Arabidopsis thaliana: one gene and its partners. The protein of the gene in region 3 interacts with the protein of the main gene of each other region in a pairwise test. Each region holds a gene or a part of one and is shown on either strand. Other genes may lie near its edges.

Region 1 (7,443 bases), on a different chromosome or scaffold from region 3:
AAAATTGGGAGAAGAGACGATCATCGGACAAACCGAGAAAGTGAAACAACAAAGAAGAAACCTGACTCTTCAGAAACTATTCAGGCGAGAGAGAGAGAGAGAAACAATTTTGGACAAGAACAGAAACGATGTACGTTTTCTGTGATCTCAATATTAGATATAGTATTCCAGTTAATCGGAAACAAAGAAGCAACAATTTGCAAATCACGGAGGTTGAACCACTGGAGGAGTTGGATTCAGTCTGGAAGGAAATCCAAGTTAACCAACAACACTTTTAGATAATCGGAACACTATATTCAATGACTATTTTGATTCCAGAGACTGTTTTGCAACCCAAACAGATCCTGATCTCAAGAATAGCTACCAGAGTAGCTATGAAGGCAGCCGTGTATGATGTATCAAGTTCTTCACATCTTCAGGTTCAAAGCTAGTAAACCATTTGAGAATCCATCCCTGGCAACATTCTTTCCTTTCTAAGACATTGAATTTGATGAGCTTTATACATCTTAGGTAATGTTACTGTTGCACCAGAACTTTGTGATTCCGGCAATACCATAATTTAGGAGTTGTAATTAATCTTCCTTGAGATATTATGCTTGTAAAACACATGTTTAATAAGTTATTCAAGACTTTTCCACAAGTCTTGTTGAACGTTTTTGAAGTTGTTGAGAGATATCATAGAAAATTCCAAAAATAATGAATCGCTAGATCAATCTATATCCAAACTGATTATTAAGACCCAGTCAATACACAAATTGCTATTCTAGCAAATGTAAGTGGTGAGGTGCACCTTAGGCTTCAAATGGCCACGGCGGACTGACAAAACCATTTGCGGGATTGGATCTCTTGTTGTTTACCATTCATAAACTGTAGTCTGTGGACCGAAAAAAAAAAAAATCGCCGTAGACAAACTAGCTACTGATTTTACATACTGTAGAAATAAATTTGGTATGGAGCTGACAACATGGTTTAGTCCGCTCCGCCCGTAACATCCATTCAAAGCCTTAACATATAACGTAGTTAACGCGTAGAGTATTTGAGTGTATATATGTATCCCCTAAACACACGTAGTTGCACGAGTGTAGCTTGTGGACACTAACAGTTTCAGTCCACTATCAAGTTGATCGACAAAACATTATGTTGACATACATCAATAGCTTGATCCTACCACTACAACATTGCTATGATGTTTCTCCACTTCTTGTTGTTGTTGTTGTCCTTGCTACTTGTACTCTCTTAGTCTCCCCTAGCTTGGTAATAAAGTTCATCAATAGCCAAATTTAAAGGTTTGGTCCTTGTAAGCTTGACACAACACAAATTAGTTACACATCTTCTTCTCATAGCTCACATTTATTTATATATGTTTTGCATACCCACTCGATTATTAAATAATTAGTTTTGAAGTTCTAGTCAATATTTCATCAAATCATCATCATCATCATCATCACTGTTGTTGTAATTAGTATTAGTATATCAAGTTGGAAAATGGCTTGTCCTCATTTTTCCAACGAGGCAACGACCATGACTTTATTCAATCTTGGTTGTTAAAAAAAACATATCACTGCATAGTTGATGACCACAACTATATTCCACAAGTCTCTCTTTCTGAGATCTAACGATTTGGGCAAACAAAATCATATTTTATTCTTTGTTTTTGAAGTTTATAGATATTTTTTTTTGTAATCAATAATGAGTGTATTTAATACAGTAGATAAATAAGGGTCCTACTTTAGTTTCGCATCACGACAACTCATATGTATACTTTAATGTATTGTTTCATAAATTGTTCCTTCCCATTACTCAATTGACATTTCCATTTAACAACTCTTCCCAATTGTGAAACCTTTATATCCCATTATCAGCTGTTTTAAGTTGACCAAGTTTTTTCTTATGGTCCTCTTCCTATTTTCTTCTTTTGATATACTTTTTTTTTTAACTCTATTTGTTCAAAGTCTTCGTCTTCTTTTTGTTAACATTATTGTTTACATGTTTTTGAAAGAGAGATTATAATTTTTATTAAGAGATTCGTCAAACCTTTGTGTAGAGCACATGCTTTTTTCTTAGATTATTTTGAGATAGGATCAGAAAACAGAGGAAGTGATAAGAGGTTCTTTTTGGGTTTGAAGATGAGTTCAAGAACTGGAGCCTCTTTGCTCCTGATCTTGTTTTTCTTCCAAATTTGTTCTGTTTCGGCACTCACGAATGGTTTAGACGGTGAGTGTGTGTGGATATATACATATACAACCATATAGATGATGAACAGAGTTTTTCCTAATCTTGAATATTGGTGCAGCTTCTGCTTTAAATGCTCTGAAGAGTGAATGGACCACTCCTCCTGATGGTTGGGAAGGCTCTGATCCTTGTGGAACCAATTGGGTTGGAATTACATGTCAAAATGACCGCGTCGTTTCAATGTAAGGCTCTGTAAATTGTTGCTGCTTCTTCCAATAATGCTCTGCAGACTTTTAATGTTGTGTTGCTTATTGTAGATCACTAGGTAACCTTGACTTGGAAGGAAAGCTTCCTGCCGATATATCGTTCTTGTCCGAGTTGCGGATCTTGTATGTCTTTCTTTTTCTTTCTATTTTTCCTTTCACATAAAAATGGTTTTTGGTTGTTTTCATCTTATTATCCAATCTTTGTAGGGATTTGTCATACAATCCTAAATTGTCCGGACCGCTTCCACCAAACATCGGTAACCTTGGGAAGTTAAGGAACTTGTAAGGAAACACACTATCATTAAATCTCTAGTACACAACTTATGTATCACTTTGTCTTATCTCTTATTTTATCTAACTCTTTTTACTCTCCAGGATCCTTGTGGGATGTAGTTTCAGTGGTCAAATCCCTGAGTCCATTGGAACTCTAAAAGAACTTATATATCTGTAAGATTCTGTGGATTCATGTTATTATAAACAGTCAATTGCATTCTCTAAAACCATTAGTATTAATTTTTGTTTCCTCAATACAGCTCCCTAAATTTAAATAAATTTAGTGGAACAATTCCGCCTTCAATTGGCCTGTTATCAAAACTATATTGGTTTGATATAGCTGACAATCAGATTGAAGGAGAGCTTCCAGTTTCTAATGGGACTTCTGCACCTGGACTTGACATGCTTCTTCAAACTAAGCATTTGTATATATAATCCCAAATCTTTCACTTCCGTTTATTATAATCACTCCTTCTAATATAGTAATTGATCTGACTCTCCTTTGCTTTTTTCTTGTAGTCATTTTGGAAAAAACAAGCTTTCAGGCAATATCCCAAAAGAACTTTTCAGCTCAAACATGAGTTTAATACATGTGTAAGCTTCATATTACATTATATAGCTGAGAGATTTCATAAGTTGTGAGTAAGTAACTAACAAAGTGACTGCATTGTTCGTTGTTTTATCGATAGCCTCTTCGATGGAAACCAATTCACGGGCGAAATTCCAGAGACCCTCAGTCTCGTTAAAACGTTGACGGTGTTGTAAGTAGTAATATATATAGTTCAAATTTTTTATTTATCCTAACGTCTATAATTCTTATGTGTTTTTTCTTGGTTCTAGACGCCTTGATAGGAACAAACTCATTGGAGATATTCCTTCATATCTTAACAATCTCACAAATCTTAACGAACTGTAAGTGAGCAACTAAAGATTTGTTCTTTTGTTTGTTGAAAATAAATGAAAATGAGGTACAAGAATTTGTAGTTGAATACATTTCAGGTACTTGGCCAACAACAGATTTACTGGTACTCTTCCAAATTTAACCAGCTTGACCAGTCTCTACACATTGTAAGTTTTTTACATTTATCATCACTACCAATCTCAAACCTTCATTCTTTACCAATCTAATGCCATGATGTGATTGTAAATGTAACAGGGATGTGAGCAATAACACTTTGGATTTCTCACCCATTCCATCATGGATCTCTTCATTACCCTCCCTATCAACATTGTATGAACATCTCTGTCTCTGTCTTGTTCTCCATTTATCTCCCATGTGTATACTTTCTAAGAACAAAGGGTTTTCTTCTTCGCAGAAGGATGGAAGGGATCCAACTTAATGGTCCAATACCAATCTCATTTTTCAGCCCTCCTCAGTTGCAGACTGTGTGAGTAAAAAAAAAAAAAAAAATGAAGCTGGAAATGAACTCAAGAATTATGAACTTTGTACTAAATTGGGATTCTTTTTTTTTTGGACTTTGCAGTATCTTAAAGCGAAATAGTATAGTGGAAAGCTTAGACTTTGGTACAGACGTTAGCAGCCAGTTGGAGTTTGTGGATTTACAATACAATGAAATAACTGATTATAAACCATCAGCTAATAAAGTCCTCCAAGTAATGTATGTATCCTTGTCACTAATCAAACATGACTTCTATTTGTCTCAATCAACTGCTTAAGTGTTTATATATCTACAGATTGGCAAATAATCCAGTGTGTCTAGAGGCGGGAAACGGGCCGAGTTACTGTTCAGCAATCCAACACAATACCTCATTTTCTACACTCCCAACAAACTGTTCTCCATGCGAACCGGGCATGGAAGCGAGTCCCACGTGCCGCTGTGCGTATCCATTCATGGGAACACTCTACTTCCGGTCTCCTTCTTTCTCAGGGTTGTTCAACTCCACCAACTTCTCAATTCTACAGAAGGCAATCGCGGATTTCTTTAAGAAGTTCAATTATCCTGTAGACTCCGTTGGTGTTCGGAACATAAGAGAGAATCCAACTGATCATCAGCTTCTAATAGATCTATTGGTCTTTCCATTGGGAAGAGAGAGTTTTAATCAGACAGGAATGTCACTTGTTGGTTTTGCATTTAGCAACCAGACTTATAAGCCTCCTCCGATATTTGGCCCTTATATTTTCAAAGCTGATTTGTACAAACAGTTCTCTGGTATGATGAACCCTTGTCACACACACAATCAAACTAGAACTAAAGGTTGTTATTGATAACTCATTTGCTCTGCCTTTCTTTTTGTCACAGATGTAGAAGTTTCATCAAAGTCATCAAACAAAAGCATTCTCATTGGAGCAGTAGTTGGTGTTGTTGTTCTTCTACTATTGTTAACAATAGCTGGGATTTACGCTCTTAGGCAGAAGAAGAGAGCTGAAAGAGCAACTGGTCAAAATAATCCTTTTGGTAAGACAACAATATTTACTACTCCCTTGACTAAAATAGCATGAACAAATTTTCTTTGGCATGTTGCAGCTAAATGGGATACAAGTAAGAGTAGTATTGATGCTCCGCAGCTAATGGGAGCAAAAGCGTTTACTTTTGAGGAGCTGAAGAAATGCACTGACAACTTTTCAGAGGCAAATGATGTTGGCGGTGGAGGTTACGGCAAGGTTTGTGTCTTAACAAATGCCTTCAAATGAATGTAACAACTAATGGCCTTAGTTGAAATTCATGATCCCAAATTTTGATGGTTAAATAGGTTTATAGAGGGATTCTTCCTAATGGGCAACTCATAGCAATCAAAAGGGCTCAACAAGGATCTTTGCAAGGAGGGTTGGAGTTCAAAACTGAGATTGAGCTTCTCTCAAGGGTCCATCATAAGAATGTTGTCAGACTCTTGGGCTTCTGCTTTGACCGGAATGAACAAATGCTCGTATACGAGTACATTTCAAATGGGTCACTTAAAGACAGTCTGTCCGGTAAGATCAAACTTCTATCTTCCTCATGAGGATTTCAGATAGTTCTTGGATGCTGAATATGTTAGTAATGCAGGGAAGAGTGGGATTCGATTGGATTGGACAAGAAGACTTAAAATAGCACTTGGTTCAGGCAAGGGCTTGGCTTATCTTCATGAACTTGCTGATCCTCCAATTATACATAGAGACATCAAATCAAATAACATATTACTTGATGAAAATCTAACCGCAAAGGTTGCCGACTTCGGTCTCTCCAAACTTGTGGGAGACCCTGAGAAAACTCATGTCACAACACAAGTCAAAGGAACCATGGTGAGTAGAAAATTTATCCTCCTTTCTCTTTTTTTCTCAAATACATTTTAAACTTACAATATCTTTGTAATCAGGGCTACTTGGATCCAGAGTACTACATGACGAATCAATTAACGGAGAAGAGCGATGTGTATGGGTTTGGTGTGGTTTTACTCGAGCTATTAACCGGTAGAAGTCCGATAGAGAGAGGCAAATATGTGGTGAGAGAGGTGAAGACAAAGATGAATAAATCTCGGAGTTTGTATGACCTGCAGGAGTTGTTGGACACAACGATCATAGCAAGCAGTGGGAATCTAAAAGGGTTCGAGAAGTATGTAGACTTGGCTTTGAGATGTGTGGAGGAGGAAGGAGTTAATAGGCCATCAATGGGTGAGGTTGTGAAAGAGATTGAGAACATAATGCAGCTTGCGGGATTAAATCCTAACTCAGATTCAGCAACGAGTTCAAGAACGTATGAGGACGCAATCAAAGGATCTGGTGATCCTTATGGCAGTGAATCGTTTCAGTACAGTGGGAATTTTCCAGCTTCAAAGCTTGAGCCCCAATGATTGATTATGTTTCTTTTTGTTATTTTGTTATTTCGTAAGTGACTTCATACTTGAAATGCCTTGTGAATGTGGAGTAGCATGATTCTGTTTGATATGTGGTCGCTGATTATAAAGCAGATGAATGGAGAGCCAAACGCAGAATCAAAAACCACCAGATCTTTGGCAATGTCGACACCAGTTTCAAACATAAGAAAAGTAATCAAGCTCAATGTATGATGAATAATTGAATATATTAATTCTTGTTGAGAAGTTTGTGTGGTTTCAAAGATTTAATCCACACATCACACACACTTTTAATTTACTCCAAACCTTTCACATTTATGCATGAGATTATATTACAAATTTATATTACAAATAATTTGTAGTACGTAAGTAAAATTAGTATTAACTAATAAGAAAAAAAAGTAATAAAGTTATTGGGTTTGCAACCTAACACATCAACGATCCCATCGAACAACAACAGTTACATGACCCAGGGTGAATTTATGGTTGTCGTCTCATCTGAGAGCACTCTCTGATCTAGTGTCCTTGTTGTCCACACCTCAAACACGCCCCCAAAATGTATGACATGATTTAACAAAAAATAAAAAGAAACATGATTTAAGACATGTGGTGTGTGGCAACTCTGCCATATATTTCATGGTGAGGTAGCGAACCGGCACCAAGTTTTTCTCGATATGTTTCCTCCATTTACCATTCTTTACGGTAGACTACGGTAGACTCATAACTTTTTTTATACCGGAGTCATATCGTATTAGTTTCTTAAGAGGATTAAAGCACACATATGTTTTTGTGTCTTATTTACTACAAAAAGTCTTTTTACTAAAACACTAACAAAACAAAAATAACATACAAAAAAAATAAGAAAAGTGGTGGGATGTGGCCAAATAGCATTAGCATACATACGTAGGAAAAAAATAGACGATGTGGTCATATGTCAGAG
Region 2 (4,103 bases), 9.3 Mb from region 3:
GCCGTTGGATATGCGTTGACTTTCAAAGGAAATAGCGTGGAACAGTTGACGCAGGCGTTGCAAGAAGAGACTAGTATGGATGATGTTGTGGTCTGTACACGCCATCCTTCAAACGGCAAGCTGTTTCCTCTTCGTTTGCAACTTCCACCTAATAGTGGAACAATGCATGTCATTCTAGTACCCTCAAGTACTTAACGGCAAGCTGTGTGGTTCCCCTTTATTTCGAATGTATTATATAAGTAGACTAGTAGTTGAAGTATTAGGCTCAAGATTGAGAGTTTGGTCCTTGCCTAGTTGCCTCCATTAGATACGAGTGTGGAATTAATCATAGAAAGTTCAGATAGACTATTATTGTGGATTTGATTTAATCTTTCATTTTATTGTACATAAGCTTATTTTGTAAACGAAGCATTTAAGTTTCGTCCTCCCATTTTTTATGTGAATTCGCCATAAAAAATTGTTTGTACTATAAAAGTTTTTTTTTTTTTTTTAAATATTAAAGTGTAACCCAATCATTGCGCAAGTCTTCACCAACTCTCCCACTTTGATAAAATGTGTTACTAAATTGTTCTTCTACTAAAGAGCTATTGACTTATTTCAAAAAATCATATGAAAGATAGAAAAAACGATACAAATCGCTGATCATATATTTTATATTACATGAGACACGTACATAGCAAATCCAACATCCAATTCCTTTACAACACAAACAAGTTTTATTTTGTTGAATCGTCGTTCAAACATTTTATCTATACATAGTAGTAAACTATATATTCTTGGCGTAAGGTGATGAGGAGTTTTGTTTGGCGTGTTAGGAATTCAACGTTCAGAAGAAGGATTGTGTGTATTTATTGAGTTTCCTCTCTAACTCATCAACCTTCACACCCACAACCATGTCTACTTCTCGGCCTCTTTTCATGAATACAATCGCAGGTAAAGTGCTAAGGTTGAACTCCATCCACACGCTCTGTATATCAACCAAACACTATTTTATAACTCAAAAGCAAACACAAATTTTGTTGAAACCTTTTCTTTAGACTTTGAGAAAAAAGATGAAGAAAAGGAGAATGATTATTTATTACCATTAAGACATCGACATCAATCTTCACGAACTCAACATCGGTGTATTTAGCAGCCAACTCTTCGAGCTTTGGTTCAAGGGTTTTACATGGTCCACACCATTTAGCTGTGAACTCGATCACCAGCTATATAAAAAACATGAAAAGTGAATGTTCATTATGATATTTTCAAATTAAGCCTAAGAGCAAGGTTAGTTGCATTGTGCTAGGAGTTTCAACTCGAAAATAAGAAGAAACCTAGAGTAATATGGTTGTCCCTCAAAATAATAAGATAAAAAGAGTAATTGGTTGAATAACTTGCGAGTGATAATTTTCAACTGGTTTATCTCATTTTTCTCTGATTTGCTCATCCAACTAACGTTGAATGGGATGCATAATTTATTTCACTCTTCTTTTTTTGAATCCCAAACTGTAAAATTTGAGAGGATTTTTGTTTCACTGAAATATGTAACCATTTGCAGCCAACTATAATAGCCTAACTTTGACTCGATAGAATGATCCAAAAGGGATATGATTCGACTTTAGAGCGAGTTTTTTTTTAGATGAGCCAGAAGAGTCATTATCTTGTGAGTTGTGTTCAAAATCTCACCTCATCTTTAAACTGAGATCTGGAATATGATGAATATGGACCAAACTACTTATTTACCATTTAGATTGAGTTGGAAGTTCATATAAGTTAATGCATTATTGTTATGTTATAAATGTCTCGAATCTGGTTATAAGAACCCTAGTTCGAATACTTTTCTAAAATTTTAAAAATAGAATCTAAAGCAAAAATGGCTTAACTTAGATTATAGATCGCATTAGTCAATATATTACCAGCTTGTTGGTGTCTTTAAGAGCGTTGAGCCTAGATTTCCACTGATTCATGTTCTTGATCTCCACAATACAAGGACTGTTGACTTTGAAAGGATAAATCTCAGGTCGAGGTGTCCATGGCTTCGTTGAACGGAAGTGGGTTACCTGAAATCTCTGGTCTGGAGTAGAAACGTTAGCACCCATTGAGTGTGTCTCTCTCTCTCTCTAAGCAGAAAGAAGCAAATGGTTTTGAGTAGAAGCTCTTAGTTTGAGCACAAGGAGAGCGGAAGAGTTGGCTTTTATATATAACGTCAAATATTCTCTGGTGGACCAAGTAGCCGTAATTCGTAACCAATTTTAACACTACATTTTCTATTGGCTCTAAGTTGTAGCGCAAAACTATCATATGAAGTAAGCGGAAAGTTGCATGTAAACCTACTTTAGTAATCTTAAAGTCCAAATTAAAAATCAAGTTGTCTAGAATCAGTTCGTGAAAACTATAAAGTTATAATTGGAATTCTAAATAGCTGTCTTACGCTATATCTATCGCATGAGTCATATCCAATATATTGAATAAATCTGGAATTGTATAAAACGTTTTATTATATTGTTTGTTTTAAGTTTAGGATATAATTTATTTCTATTTATTTATCCATCCACTGATTATGCAACCTAAATTTTAAGTTCAACGTGATATCCACAGCTATCTCTCTTCTATCTTTTTTTTTTTCGTTAGTGTGAGTTACTTTTTAGACTCGCAAGAGAGACAACAATGGTGGCAGCAGAAGTGTTTGACCCTTTTACAGCCGTGAAAAAAGGATTCCAAATCTTTCACAATATATGATTCCCTTATAACTTTTCATTTTAATTTAGTTGATTTTGTATGAAAGCTTCTTTTGGATTTTCTATTTATTAGCTAACAGTAAAAAAGCATACAAACCTATATACTAGTTATTTATTTTTGTCAAACCCCAATATATTAATTGAGTGAATAAACGTTAAAACGGAATTCAATTGTAGGTTAAATGAATGATGGAATATACAGCATGTGGCAAAGAGGTAGACACAAAATAAAGCAGTAGATATTTTTGCTTCATGCCAAATATGTTTTGGACTTGGTGTTCTAGAAGTCTAATATGATATATATATATATATATATTTTTTTTTTTTTTATGTACCCAAGAAGTCTAATATTAATATTAACAGTAATAGCAGTAGTAGCTTTTCTTTACAACATATTAGTTGGGTTGTACTCATTTACCGTCCGTAATCGATAAAGGATGAAACTATGCCTAATAACGTGATCCTCCATAGAAATGATCAATTAAAACTATACTGTTTATATTTCTATCAAGTCATAACATAGTGTATATGATATAGTTCCAAATGCAATCCATCTAACTAGATTACTTTTATGATTTTAAATATACTTGTTAGAGATGGTTTTCTGATTCCAGGCAGAGAGTATGATGACAAAGTTATAAAATAAGACAAAACTGTGAACTATATCTAACACTTCTACATAATGAAAGGTAAAATTTTATTAAATATTCTAGTTCTTACATATTATGATACATACATTGTCATAGTAATTATTCAAACAACATCGACAATCTTCTTGTTGTCCCTAAGGATAGTCTATTAAATCATTTCATCGATTTCTTCGAAGTCATCTCAACATCATCGGAGGACTTGTCCTCCTCAAAGTCTTCAATCGGTAAACCGACCTTGTACCGGTATCCCCGAGCACAATACCAAAAGTAAACCAGATTAACCACACCCAAAACCGCAATCAGATAATAGAAGTAATCCAATTTTCCCGCGTTGAGATTCTTGTTTAGCCAATCCGGACGATCATGCCCACCGGAGAATTTATGAACGACAGTCACAAGGAAACTACTAAGGTAGCTCGAACCGGCGAACGATAAAGAGAAGAGAGAGTTAGCGATACTTCTCATGTGCTCTGGAAACTGACTGTTGAAGAACTCAATTTGTCCGATGATATTGAATGCTTCACATAGTCCCATGAGAATTAGCTGCGGCGAAAGCCAAAACACCGACATTGGAGTCATTCCCGTTGGATCTCCGGCATTGATGGAGCGTATGCGTCTCATACGCTCCACAATGCCCGCAACGATCATAGAAAAGATCGCGAAAACGATCCCTGTTCCTATCCTTTGGAGGAGTGTGATTCCGGATTTATGGCCGGTGATTCGCCGCATGAAT
Region 3 (4,859 bases):
ATCAGAAATATTAAATTTTAAAATTTTATGATTGTGTATCATATTTAAACTAGATTTTAATCCGCGGTATATCGCGGGACGATTTATTTTTTAAAAGTAAGATATATTGAAACTTGCAAATTTTATTCTTATAAAATATTTATATTTTACAGTTTATAATTGTTACCACAATTTTTAGCTTAAAGTTTTATATTTTATAGTTTAATTTTATATATACTAACATTATACATACCACATAACATTTTTGGTTTTATATAATCTTTTCTAAATTAGGATGATTTGATATGTTTAATATTAATGGTCTTAAAAAATAATAAATTAAAGATTTAACCCGTATTGAAACGGTGATTTAATTATATTTTACTTTTTTTATTAATGTTGATTCAAAAACCCGTCCCTCCAAATCCATCTTGCCAAAAAGCCATTTATTTTATTAATATTAATTTTATTTATGATATGACTCTAAATTATAATCTAAACATTTTAGCTAATAACATAGAAGTGCACCATATTTATTTAATAGGGGAATGTACCATATGACCCGAATGCACTTTTACCCAAATCCACCAAAAAAGTCTTGCAAAAATACTATAGAGATAAGAAACGATAGTCGGTTTTGATAGGTATAAGATTAGCAAATATATTAGTTAGCTTAAATTAGTTAAAGAATACAAATTAAAAAGATATATTACACTTTATTCGAATATAGTATAAAAACTTATATAACACAGAGATTTGATAATTTTTTAATTGTTGAATACTTTTTTGTGCTAATTTTTATGTGATTAAGATTTAGTTGATTTCGTATATAAAATATTAAATTGTTTTACGAACTTATTTGTTTATAATTTGGTAACAGATAGATATTTGAATATTCAGTATATTTTGCTTAAGTTTAGGAAATCTTTGATGACCCGTCTTTAAATCAAATAAGCCCTATAATTAAGAGATGAACTAGGATTTAACCCGCGGTTTACCGCGGGCAATCGGTTTATTTGGTTCTTATACTAAATATTTGAATAAATTTGATATCCTAAACTTATAAATATAAATTTTTTAATCAGACATAACTAAATAATAATTGAGATTTTTTTTTGGTTGTTATTTAGTGATAAGAAGAATGTGTTAAAATGTGTTTAATTTTTCTTTTGTTATTTACTTATTTTTGTTGAACGGATTAGATTGAAGTGAATTAAAATTATTGAACGGTTTAGATTGAATCGGATCATATCAAGTTTAGGAGATTGTTAAGACCAAATTACCCTTAATGATTTTGAATAGCAAAGAACAAAATCCAAAATTGAAATCAAAATTGAGGCCAAATTAGACAAAATTTCAATTTGTACTTCCCTTTTAATAATAAGAGGATATTGTCGTTAAAAGATTTTGGTAATTAATGACGTCATTAAAGGATTTTGTTTTTGATTAAATTTTTCTAATGGCATTGTCATGTAATTAACTACAAAAATTAAGGTTAAATTTAAAATGTACTTCCCAAATAATATAGTAGGATACTTGTAATTTGTATCATTTATATGATATTTATATTTATATTTATATTTTATAATTGTCATTAAGTAACGATATACCACATAAGAAGTTTGTTTTGTACAATCTTATATTAATTAGACAGATGTTATATGTCTAACACTAGTGATATTAATAAATAATAAAATAAGAATTTCATCTGTATTAAAGTAGTAGGTTAATGATGTTTTATTTACTTATTAATATTGTTTCAAATCCGTTCCGCCATATAACTCCGTCTCGGAATATAACTCATCGCATATTATTTTAATTTTCCTAATATTATAAACTTTTATTGATTTTAAATACATCAATCATAATATTAATAATAATTTAAATGAAAAATTATAGAAAATAAATCGTGATTGTCAAGTTTTCACTTTTGATAATTTTTTCTTGTAATTAGTCAATTAGTGTTATATTGTGGAGAGTTGAATAGTCTCATTTTGCAATTTTAGAAGATCAAGGGTATATTTCCAAAACATTGCAGTTTTGAGGATTCAACTTGCAATTTACCCTTTTCAAAAATCACTTTCGACAATTACCAAAAACCAGTTCCCCCATTTCATTTCACGCTTTCTTCTCTTCTCATCTCAGAGCTCCGTGATGAAGAAATGGTTAGCAATCGCAGCGACGGTGGCGATAATTGCAATAATCGTTAGACAAGGCACGACACAATACGGATGGAACAAAGAGGCGGCGTTGGAAAAGCTAAAGGAATGGTCAGATCGGCTGGGGATTTGGGCGATTCCAACGTATGTAGCGGTTCACACAATAACCTTAGCTCTTTGTCTCCCTCACGCCGTCTTCTTTGAAGCTGGTGCTTCTATGCTCTTTGGTTTCCTTCCTGCTCTTCTCTGTGTTTTCTCTGCTAAAGTTCTCGCCGCTTCTTTCTCCTTCTGGATCGGCAGGTCTGCTTCTCAATTGCACTGTTATGTGATTCAAATTGATCTGTTGGATCGTTAGTTTGTGTCGCTAATGTACGAATTTGATCGAAATGATTTGGATTTAGAACAATGATTCTCACATGGCTTATCTTGGCTTCGTAGAAAGTATATGATTCATTAGTAATACACTCTGGTTTAGTTTATGTTATCGTGTTTTGTGAATGCTTAAGGTTTTACTTGGAGATGGTTTAGATTTTTCTTTAGTGCACCATTGTTGAAACCTTTTGCAGAACGTTTATTGAAATCCATTAAATTGTAAGCATGAATGATAGGAAGGGAATGTTTGTGTGAAGAAATGGTGTCATTGTTGGTTATTCAGCGGTAAGATAACACCGTTGTTCACCAAAAAGGCGGAGAAGATGCATGATATTTTCTTGCGAGATTTAGATGGATGTCTTCAGATTCTATAATGGTGTTTGGATAAGAGTGGTTGTTGTCTTGTGTATGTGACGGAGATGTAAAGAACCGTTAGATGCTTGTCATTTGCTTGTTAATATATGCTAGGGAATGATTTGCAATATTCACATTTATGCTGGATTTTTACATGGCTTCATAGAAACTATATGCTTCATTAGTAACACTCTGATTTAGTTTAAGTTATCGATTTCTGAGATTTTACTTGGAGATGTAGAATAAACTCTTTTGTTGGTTTTGATTGTCCTGCTATCGCTGAAACCTCCGTATACAGAAGTTTTCACGAAAATCCATTCTACTCTAAGCATTATAGGAAGTGGATCTTTGTGTAAAGAAATGATGTCATTTTGGCTGTTCAGAGGAAAACTAACACCGTTATTCGCCAAAAAGGCGGAGAAGATGCATGTCTTCCTATTCTATAATGGTGTGTGGATGAGATTGGTTGTTTTCTTGTGTATGTGATGGATATGTATGGACTAATTGTTAAATGCATGCTGTGATTCTAATTGCCAATTAATATATGTAGGAGAATGCAACTAGGATGTTGATTAACCTTAGCAATGTGATATGCAGTTTTATTTATTTATCTATCTATTGGGAGCACTTGCATTCTCTCATACTTTTTTGAATTTTCAGGTTTGTTTTTAAGAGTTCCACCAGAGCTACAGGGTGGGCGCATAGCAACAAGTACTTCAATATTCTCTCAAGAGGAGTTGAGCGCGATGGTTGGAAGTTTGTTCTTCTTGCAAGGTTCTCGCCCATTCCTTCCTATGTCATAAACTACGCTTTGGCAGCTACTGAAGTCCGGTTTGTAGCTGATTTTCTGTTCCCCACGGTTATTGGCTGCCTCCCGATGATCCTGCAGAACGCATCAGTCGGTAGCCTCGCTGGTATGGCTGTGGCTTCAGTAGCTGGAAAACAGAAAAGTCAGGTCTGGGGTTATGTTTTCCCAGTACTTGGGATACTGTCAAGTGTTCTGATTTCATTGAGGATCAAAAAGTACTCAGCTGGAATTACAGAGGCATCATCAGATACCTCTGCTAACAACTCTAGTTTAGCTTCATCTGAAACTGCGAATCCCGCTTATGGAACCGATGGATCCAAGAAAAGTGAGTGATTATACAAACCATGATGGTGGTTTTTGATCGCCGGTATTACACTTTGTTTGGTTTGCAGCTATCAGATTCTCAACATCATGGCTTATTTTGGACGAGTTAGGCAGTATCTTAATAGTAACAAAGCATTAGTTTTTGTACTTCTTAAGTTAAAAGCTTAGAACAAAACAACAGTGTTATTTTCTATACCAGACACAAAAACTGTGTCGTTGTAATAACACTTACCATAACATTTTCTTTCAGTGTATGTTTAAAGCCGTTTATATGGTTGAAGCAATGTGACTAAAATTTTTGTAGCATTGAAACAAGCTATATTTGCATTGCTATGGTCTTGTTTTGTGACTAAAAGACTTGGATGCAGAATGGATATAAGTTAAATGTCTGATTTTGTAAATAACTTATGAAGAGAAAATCTTTATTCGGTAAGAGTTGTTTTCTCAATGTAGCAGTTCACTCATCATTTTCAAACTTCAACTCTCAGAGAACACAAAGAGGTTAGACAGTGCAGATGCTTATGGTTGAGAAGCTTTACCTAACAATGGTACAAGGCGGTTTTGTTGGGATCACATGTGAAGTTAGGCACATGGATTCGTTCTTGGAGTTGGTACAAGGACTTCTAAAAGACAACAATGAGGTATAATAAGGACAAGTTGACTATGTCTCTCTCTTTTATCTTAACATTCTAAATTAGGATTTGGTAAACTGAGAGCAGTTAGCTTCTTGAATCTCTAAAGTATAAAAACCCTCACCGTTTTACTACTATCTCATCTTAAAACTCCCAAGTAACAAAAATGGCTATCTCAAAGCTTATTCCTACTCTTGTGCTCTTTGTTTTGTTCTCTTTTGATGTTAGTGT

The links.
Region 1: the proteins of AT1G44960 (region 3) and AT5G49760 interact in a protein complementation assay, tested with the Arabidopsis thaliana proteins (one large-scale study listed by BioGRID).
Region 2: the proteins of AT1G44960 (region 3) and TH8 interact in a protein complementation assay, tested with the Arabidopsis thaliana proteins (one large-scale study listed by BioGRID).

Annotation. Positions count from the first base shown.
Region 1 is NC_003076.8:20,214,553-20,221,995, forward strand, and holds AT5G49760 (Leucine-rich repeat protein kinase family protein), read left to right. Parts: upstream 1-1,779; 5' UTR 1,780-2,126; coding exon 2,127-2,214; intron 2,215-2,293; coding exon 2,294-2,414; intron 2,415-2,489; coding exon 2,490-2,561; intron 2,562-2,645; coding exon 2,646-2,720; intron 2,721-2,813; coding exon 2,814-2,885; intron 2,886-2,971; coding exon 2,972-3,136; intron 3,137-3,230; coding exon 3,231-3,305; intron 3,306-3,400; coding exon 3,401-3,472; intron 3,473-3,551; coding exon 3,552-3,623; intron 3,624-3,710; coding exon 3,711-3,779; intron 3,780-3,867; coding exon 3,868-3,942; intron 3,943-4,027; coding exon 4,028-4,099; intron 4,100-4,195; coding exon 4,196-4,330; intron 4,331-4,406; coding exon 4,407-4,882; intron 4,883-4,972; coding exon 4,973-5,128; intron 5,129-5,197; coding exon 5,198-5,334; intron 5,335-5,423; coding exon 5,424-5,643; intron 5,644-5,716; coding exon 5,717-5,952; intron 5,953-6,026; coding exon 6,027-6,500; 3' UTR 6,501-6,830; and 1 more. UniProt on the Arabidopsis thaliana protein: Leucine-rich repeat receptor protein kinase that acts as sensor of extracellular hydrogen peroxide. Required for intracellular calcium influx in response to extracellular hydrogen peroxide.
Region 2 is NC_003070.9:26,319,518-26,323,620, reverse strand, and holds TH8 (thioredoxin H-type 8), read right to left. Parts: upstream 2,224-4,103; 5' UTR 2,082-2,223; coding exon 1,899-2,081; intron 1,206-1,898; coding exon 1,083-1,205; intron 968-1,082; coding exon 827-967; 3' UTR 619-826; downstream 1-618. Other genes in the region: AT1G69890 (actin cross-linking protein (DUF569)), read left to right, coding at 1-195; NRT1.7 (nitrate transporter 1.7), read right to left, coding at 3,524-4,103. UniProt on the Arabidopsis thaliana protein: Probable thiol-disulfide oxidoreductase that may be involved in the redox regulation of a number of cytosolic enzymes.
Region 3 is NC_003070.9:16,997,443-17,002,301, forward strand, and holds AT1G44960 (SNARE associated Golgi protein family), read left to right. Parts: upstream 1-2,003; 5' UTR 2,004-2,133; coding exon 2,134-2,438; intron 2,439-3,524; coding exon 3,525-4,005; 3' UTR 4,006-4,292; downstream 4,293-4,859. Other genes in the region: AT1G44970 (Peroxidase superfamily protein), read left to right, coding at 4,795-4,859.